Linked DNA regions of Callithrix jacchus. The protein of the gene in region 1 purifies or fractionates together with the protein of each later gene. This does not show direct contact. Links are inferred from orthologs where the notes say so. Each region holds a gene or a part of one and is shown on either strand. Other genes may lie near its edges.

The links.
Region 2: the proteins of COX6B1 (region 1) and CHCHD4 purify together in Homo sapiens (co-immunoprecipitation; 3 studies listed by BioGRID and IntAct, with this or other methods). This does not show direct contact. The link is inferred for Callithrix jacchus from reciprocal best matches to the Homo sapiens genes COX6B1 and CHCHD4.

What each region holds. Positions count from the first base shown.
Region 1 is NC_133523.1:31,848,809-31,853,347, reverse strand, and holds the start of COX6B1 (cytochrome c oxidase subunit 6B1), read right to left. Parts: upstream 2,901-4,539; 5' UTR 2,823-2,900; intron 293-2,822; 5' UTR 282-292; coding exon 176-281; intron 1-175. UniProt on the Homo sapiens protein: Component of the cytochrome c oxidase, the last enzyme in the mitochondrial electron transport chain which drives oxidative phosphorylation.
Region 2 is NC_133516.1:71,077,897-71,080,857, reverse strand, and holds part of CHCHD4 (mitochondrial intermembrane space import and assembly protein 40), read left to right. Parts: intron 1-2,509; coding exon 2,510-2,817; 3' UTR 2,818-2,961.

The DNA.
Region 1 (4,539 bases):
GGAACCAAAGTTTGTAACCCAAGCCTGGACCTGAAGAGCAAGTGATAAGAAGCATGGGTCCCCTAGAGGAAGGATGTCCAGAAGAAAAGGGAGGATGCTGGGATGGATGGGTCCCCTAGGAAGAGGCAAGAGGTGAGTGACTAGAGGTGTGGGGCCAGGGAAAGGTCCTGCTTACCCAGGTAGTTCTGCCAGCAGTTCCTGGTCTGGTTCTGGTTGGGAAAGCGGCTGTCAAAAGGGGCAGTCTTGTAGTTCTTAAGTTTGGCCTTCATCTCTTCTGCCATGGTGCTGAATCCTGGAGATGAAAGGAGTGGGTGTTGGCAGGGGCCCCGAGCAAGTCAGACTACCCAGGATCAATGGAAGAGAGGAGGCACTGAAGAATGGTGGGGGTGTGAACAAGTTCCTGCCTCTCAACATATATGCAGAGATGAGGGGCAGGGCGCTCCACACATCTGTGCGTGGAAGTTGTGGCAGCATTAGGGTGCGACTCCTCAGCAAAATCAAGCCTGGTTCCCAAATAACATGAGCTAACACTGAATGCTTACTACATGCCAGGTGCTGTTCTACACACCTGACTCCTACGGCTGCTCTAAAAGTAGGAACGTAGGAACTATTACTATCACCACTGCCCAGACGAGGAAGGAACAGGGTGTCTAAGTGACTTCCTAAGGTTATCTGGCATAAAAATAAATGGTGGGCTACCTCCATTTTTGGCATAATCTACACTGCAAAGGTTCTTAATCTTTTTGGTGCCACAGACTCCTCAGTGGTCTCACGAATCCCATAAACCTCTCACTGAATATGTTTTTTTTTTTTTTTGAGACAGACCCTTGTTCTGTTGCCCAGGCTGGAGTGCAGTGATGCGATCTAGGCTCACTGCAACCTTTGCCTCCCAGGTTCAAGCAATTCTGTTGCCGCAGCCTCCTGAATAGCTGAGATTACAGGTGCCCACCACCACACCCAGCTACTTTTTTTGCATTTGAGTAGAGACGAGGTTTCACCATGTTGGTCAGACTGGTCTCGAACTTCTGACCTGAGATGATCCACCCACCTTGGCCTCCCAAAGTGCTGGGATTACAGGCGCGAGCCACCAAACCTGGCCTGAATATGTTTAAATGTATTACAACATTGCATAGGTTCCATGAGTACATGAAGAAGTTAAAAAAAAAAAACAAAAAACTGGAATAGTATCACAAAGAAAACCAGTTATATCCAGCTGAGGATTCATTAAGAAATACAATTCTGGCCAGGTGCGGTGGCTCATGCCTATAATCGTAACACTTTGGGAGGCCAAACCAGGTGGATCACCTAAGATCAAGAGTTCAAGACCAGACCGGCCAACATGGTGAAATCCTGTCTCTACTAAAAATACAAAAATTAGCCAGGTGTGGTGGTGGGTGCCTGTAATCCCAGCTATTTGGGAGGCTGAGGCAGGAAAATCGCTTGAACCTAGGAGGTGGAGGTTGCAGTGAGCTGAGATTACACCATTGCACTCCAGTCTGGGTGACAGAGCAAGACCCCCTGCAACCTCACTCAAGTAACCATGAGTGGATATAGTATTTTGTGACATCTGCATTTATAATGTGATATAAGAATATCTGTGATTTTAGGTGGGGCACTGTGGCTCACACCTACAATCCCAACACTTTGGGACGCTGAGGTAGGAGTATCACTTGAGCGCAGGAGTTCAAGACCAGCTTGTGAAACCCCATCTCTACAAAAAAATAGTAAAATTAGCCAGGTGTGGTGGCGCATGCCTGTGGTCCCAGCTACTGAGGTAGGATCGTTTGCACGGGGATGCAGAGGTTACGGTGAGCCAAGATTTCTCCACTGCATGCCAGCCTGGGTACACAGAGACCTTCTCAAAAAAGGAGAAAAAAATATCTATGGTTTTGATTGCTAACAAAATCACAGCTGCTGCTAGTACTAACGAGGTTGTTGCCTCAAAAGGTTAATACACAGATAGAATTCCACCCCCTCACCCCAATTCAAATACTGGGGTAATTCCACACAGTCACCCCAATTCAAATACATTCCTGGAATTCTTCCAACTCTGCAGACCGAGGGTTAAAAATCTTTAATATAATGTCTCTGAAGAAGTGACACATAATGTTCGTCGGGAACCTGAAAGTGTCTATATTCGAGGGAATCCCAGGAGTCGTGGGGCTATACAGAAACCTGCAGAGCAGCGTCAAATTCAAGCGATGCAAAGTGGTGGTGGGGGTCTGGAGCACTAAAACGGTCTTTCGATGGGGAGGTGGGGTGTATGTAAAACACCACCGCTGGGGCACAGATGCAATCAGAAGGATGGTTACCGGCGATATCTCGAGCCGGTATCTGAGGATGAGGGTGCTTCGGAGGTGACGCTGCGGCCCCTCCCACGTCCAAAAGGGAGGATTGACAGAACACCAGGGAGTCAGGCTGCAGCCCAGGTAAGCCGCGGGAGGCCACGCCCCTGAATTTGCGATGAACCCTGGAGGACAAACTCCTGGGCCAAATCCTGGTCGCGTGTAGGCTCGGCTAGGTCCCTTGGTATCTCCAAACCTGTTTACTGTCAAAAGGGGATGATCCCAGGCCTGTCTTAGAACTCTCTGGTGGGAGAGTTAAATGAATAATTTAAGTTGTTTGGGATGTTGCCTTGCATCAAGGAAGAACTCCTGTTATATCACTGTTAGTTCTTACGAAGAACAGAACAACAGGGTCCCGGGGCCCAGGGAGGCTGGACGCCGCCAGCCAGAAGCCTCAACCCGTTCTCGGGGAAGCTAGGGTTCAGATCCTCAGCCCGTTAGGCTGGGGTTCCAGGTTCCAGAACCCTTCACACTCACCTAAAAGCACCCCCGATGCACCTTGCAGCTCAATGTGACCCTCTGCAAAGACTCCAGAGTCGGACAGGAACCGGAACTAAGGCCAGCCGGAAGCTGAGCGAGATGGGGTATAGGGGAGTCTTCCGGACGGCTAGAGCTCCCGCCCAGGAGGTGGCCAACGACGCCATTCAGGTCACGCCCAGCAAGAGAACTACGACTTTCTATTGGGCTGAATGCTTGTTTATTATCACTCCTGGCCCAGTCGTGAGCTTGCGCGGCTGGGGCTCGGACGCCCAGGTGTTTATCACCTCCGGGTCTTCACTCGGAGAATGCGTTGCAGATCCCGGGATGCGCTGGAGGGTCGGTGTGGGGAAAAATGTCTCAGCAAAAGTACTTTAATTCATGCAATAATTATTTATTGAACGCTTTTCTGCGTCAGGTACTTCTTTTCTTTTTAAAAAATTTCTTTTTTTTTGGTGCCGTGACTCGGAATTCTTTTTTTTTTTTTTTTTAATTTTATGACAGGGTCTTAGTCTGTGGCCCAGGCTGGAGGGCAGTGGTGCGAACTCGGCTCACTGCAACCTCCGCCTCCCGGCTTCAAGCGATTCTCCACCTCAGCCTCCCGAATAGCTGGGACTACAGGTGCCCACCACCACGCTCGGCTAATTTTTGTATTTTTTAGTAGAGACGGGGTTTCACCACGTGGGTCCAGCTGGTCTCGAACTCCTGACCAGCCTGTCTCTTTTGTTGTTGTTGCAGAAAGGTGATTTTATTCAAGGAGAGAAAAGAGAAAAAAGAAGAGAGAAAACTTCCACGAAGAGTGTGGAAGGGAAATCCAGGAGGGGGAAAGAGAGCTCCTACTATGTGGGAGGGGATTCCAGACAGCTGGAAATCCCCAGCCTGTCTCCCCCCCCCCAAAAAAAAAGCTTGGATCTACGAAGGGTCTGGCAGAAATGGTTCCCTTTGGGAAAATGACTAACTCTGTGCTTCTGGCCACAGAATAGTCCTTGACTCTCTGATCCTTCTCATACCGGATAGCTGACCTAGAAATCCTGTTGGTTTTTCCTGCAAGTATATCCATATCTTCCTCTAGCCCATTTGGTTCAAGCCACCATCACCTTCAGACTGGACTGTTGCAGTAGCACACTCCCTGGCCTCCTGGCTTCCAGCTGCCTTCTGCAATATGCCCACCCCGCCAGAGGAATACTGGTCTGACTCTTAGTCTAAAGCCAATGTCCTAATAAATGATCTACATAATTTTTTCTTTCTTTCTTTTCTTCCTCCCTTTCTTCCTTTTTTCTTCTTTCTCTTCTTTCCTTTATTTTCTTTCTTTCTTTTTGGACTGAATCTCGCTCTGTTGCCCAGGCTGGAGTGCAGTGGCACAATCTCGGCTCACTACAACCTCCACCTTCTAGGTTCAAGCGATTCTCCTGCTTTGGTCTCCCCAGTAACTGGGATTATAGTCATGCGCCACCACACCCAGCTAAGTTTTGTATTTTTAGTAGAGACAGGGTTTTTCCATGTTGCTCAGGCTTGTCTACAACTCCTGGCCTCAAGCCATTGTGCTGCTTCAACCTCCCAAAATGCTGTGATTACAGGTGTGAGCCACTATGCCTGGCCCACATTGATAGTTTTTAGCAGTGGTGTGAGATCGTCCACCTCTGGGCCTTTGCTCTTGTTCCTTCTGCCTGAAACATTCTTTGCCTATCTGACTTCTCAAATCAGCTGTCTCCTGTTC
Region 2 (2,961 bases), on another chromosome or scaffold:
TGTGGCCACTACAGGCTTGGAGGTATCTTATACTGAGGGGCTAACTACCTCAGGAGGGATAGGGGGTTGAGGTGAAGGGTTATGACCAGGTGCATTACCAGTTAGGGTTAGTGCTAGAAGATGTGTGGGGGATGAGGTTGGCTGTGAGGGGCCAGTGTGTTGGAGGGTGACCCCCTAGAGTTTGGAGGATGTCCCGCCCTAGTAGGGGAACTGGGCATGAAGGCATGATCAGGAAGGAGTGAGAGATTGGGTGCCCCTCAAGGTTACAGGCTAAGGGAGGAGTCTGGTTGGGGCAGGAGGGCTTTCTATCAATTCACATATCTGACACTTGGGAAGGTGTGTTAGGTCTTGAGTAAGAAGGCAACACAGAATAGGTAGCCCCCGTGTCCACCAAGAAGGAAATGGACTTACCTGCTACCTATAGCATTACTTTGAGCTCAGAAGGGCGATAGGGGTCTCCAAGTCTGGGCCACATCAGTCGTCTATGAGGCTGAGGAGTTCAAACGAAGGGACTGCATCTTTTGGACTGGCCTGCCTCTCACATGGAGGTGCAGGGGGTGAGCCTATAGTCTGGGATGGGCAGTCTACTTTCTAGTGTCCAATCCATTTGCAGGTAGGACAGGGTCCCAGGGCCAGTGGCCCTCCTGGCTGCACTTGAAACAGGGCCTGGGTGGGACCTTTGAAGCAGTCTGGGTGGGTCCAGAGAGTCCTGAGGGACCCTTTTGGGGGGCCTTTGACAGGTCCCTTACACCAGATGCTTGGTGAGTTGCCAGCCTCAGAGCCGCTACAAGAGCTTGGGTTTGGAGGCTCACCTGTTGCTGTAGCTGGGCCTGGTGGGTGGCCTCAGCTTTTTCCTCTCCGCCATTAAAAACTTTAAATGCCATGTTTACCAGGTCTCATATGGGAGTTTGGAGGCCCTCCTCTGCCTTCTTTAGTTTTTTTCTAATATCTGGTGCTGACTGGGAAATAAAATGGGCTGCTAGGAGGGTAGCCCCAGCTGAAGAGTCTGGATCTACTCGGGTATGGCCCTTCATACCCGAGTAGATCCAGACTCTGTGTTGTTTTCGCTGGGAACTGCACTCCAGAGCTGTTCCTATTTGGCCGTCTTGGATCCACCTTTTGGGTTACAATTTTTAAATGTCCCTATTCTCTCTTTTGGAAACTGGTTGTGCAGGTTTGTGAGCAGATTTGAACCTCCAGGGGGCAGCATTTACAAATGTTTTTCCACCACTGAGGTCCCTGTCAAGAAGAAGTGGTGAGATGTAGAGGAAGGGATATGGGCTCTGCCGGCCTAGTCTGCAGTCCTAACGTGGACCATGAGCCCCAGAAACTGTGTGTAAACTGGGGTTAGTAGTACACAATGCAGGAGAACTTGATCTGCAACCGCTACTGGTCCTGGGGGTCTGCTGCCTGCTAAGGGGGCAGCACTAGTTGGCATCGCCCTTGCTATCCCCATTTCACAAATAAGGTACAGGAATAGTTACAGCAGGTCCATTGATCAGTGGAGCTTCCCAAGCTGGAATTGAGAGGCAGCTGGGGTTTCACCTAGGACTTTGGACATTAGTGCAGAGTGCCAGGCCTGGGTACTGCCCTGGAGTGAAGAATCATGTGTAATTTACAGGACGTTTTAGAGGCCTCTTAGAAAGTGCTTTCAGGTTCTTGGTAAGACTCATGTAAGAAGCTTCTATATGAATCATATATCTGTGTCTGTCACAAAGCTGAAAATGAAGCCATCATTTTGATAGCATTTTGGAAAACAAAGAAATACTATTTAGATGTGAATAAAGTTCAATGATGAGAAAAGCTATGAAAGTCAAAAGAGGCCTATTAATAGTGAGAATGAAAACTCATCTATAACCTTGCTCCCTTCCCACACACATGTGCAGTTTAACAGTTTGATTTTTTACAATGCACTCGCACTAATCGTATGCCACCAGCTTCTCATTGTGCAGCATGTGTTAGACATCTTTCCTCGTCAGTACATAAGGAGCAACCTCTGCCTTTTCACCAGTCCCCACACTACGCTGAGCTTCTGAGAGCAGCTGCAAGGCAAGAGGGGCTCAAGGGGCAGGGAGCTTGGGGGTAAGGTGGTCCCAATCATCCATATGGGGAGGGGATTAGAAAGAGAAGATTAGTACCTCAGTTCCTTAAAGTGGGCTTTCAAAAAGCTCTTCACTAACCATCCAAGTGATCGTCTCTTTGGGTTAAATGGTTCCCCGTATTTAATTCTTGGAGCACAGCCTCAGAGTACTGGGAGGTGGCTTAGAATAGTTTAGTGTCACACATGGAGAAACATGTCCTTGATGGCTTCTCTCCTAGCTGGGCCAAGGAGTGCTGGATATGTGCTAGGCATTTCAACTGAATCCAGATTGAGGTATGGGTCCATAGGAACGATGGCTCCTGTTGTTCTGCACCAGCTGAGTAGCCTGCGAGGACTGGACCAGTTTTGTATTTTCTGAAACATTACAGAACATCTCTCACATTGTCCTTGCTTATCTTCCTGTTCCAGGATTGATACTGCCAAATGGAAACATTAACTGGAACTGCCCATGCCTTGGGGGAATGGCCAGCGGCCCCTGTGGGGAACAGTTCAAGTCGGCCTTTTCCTGCTTCCACTATAGCAAGGAGGAGATCAAGGGGTCAGACTGTGTAGACCAGTTCCGGGCCATGCAGGAATGCATGCAGAAATACCCAGACCTCTATCCCCAAGAGGATGAGGATGAGGAAGAGGAAGAAAAGAAGAAGCCAGCAGAACAAGTACCAGAAACAGCTCCCTCTGAAGCCACTGCAACCAAAGAGGAAGAGGAGTCAAGTTAATGAAGGCCACAAGGCACTGGGCTCCAGTCCTTCCACTTCAGTGATATGGACCTTTTGCAAGATGCCTTTTAGTCACCTTTCCAGAAAGTGTCTTTCCCTCTGTTGTCCTGTGCACTGTAATATGCAAAATAACTTATTTTGATG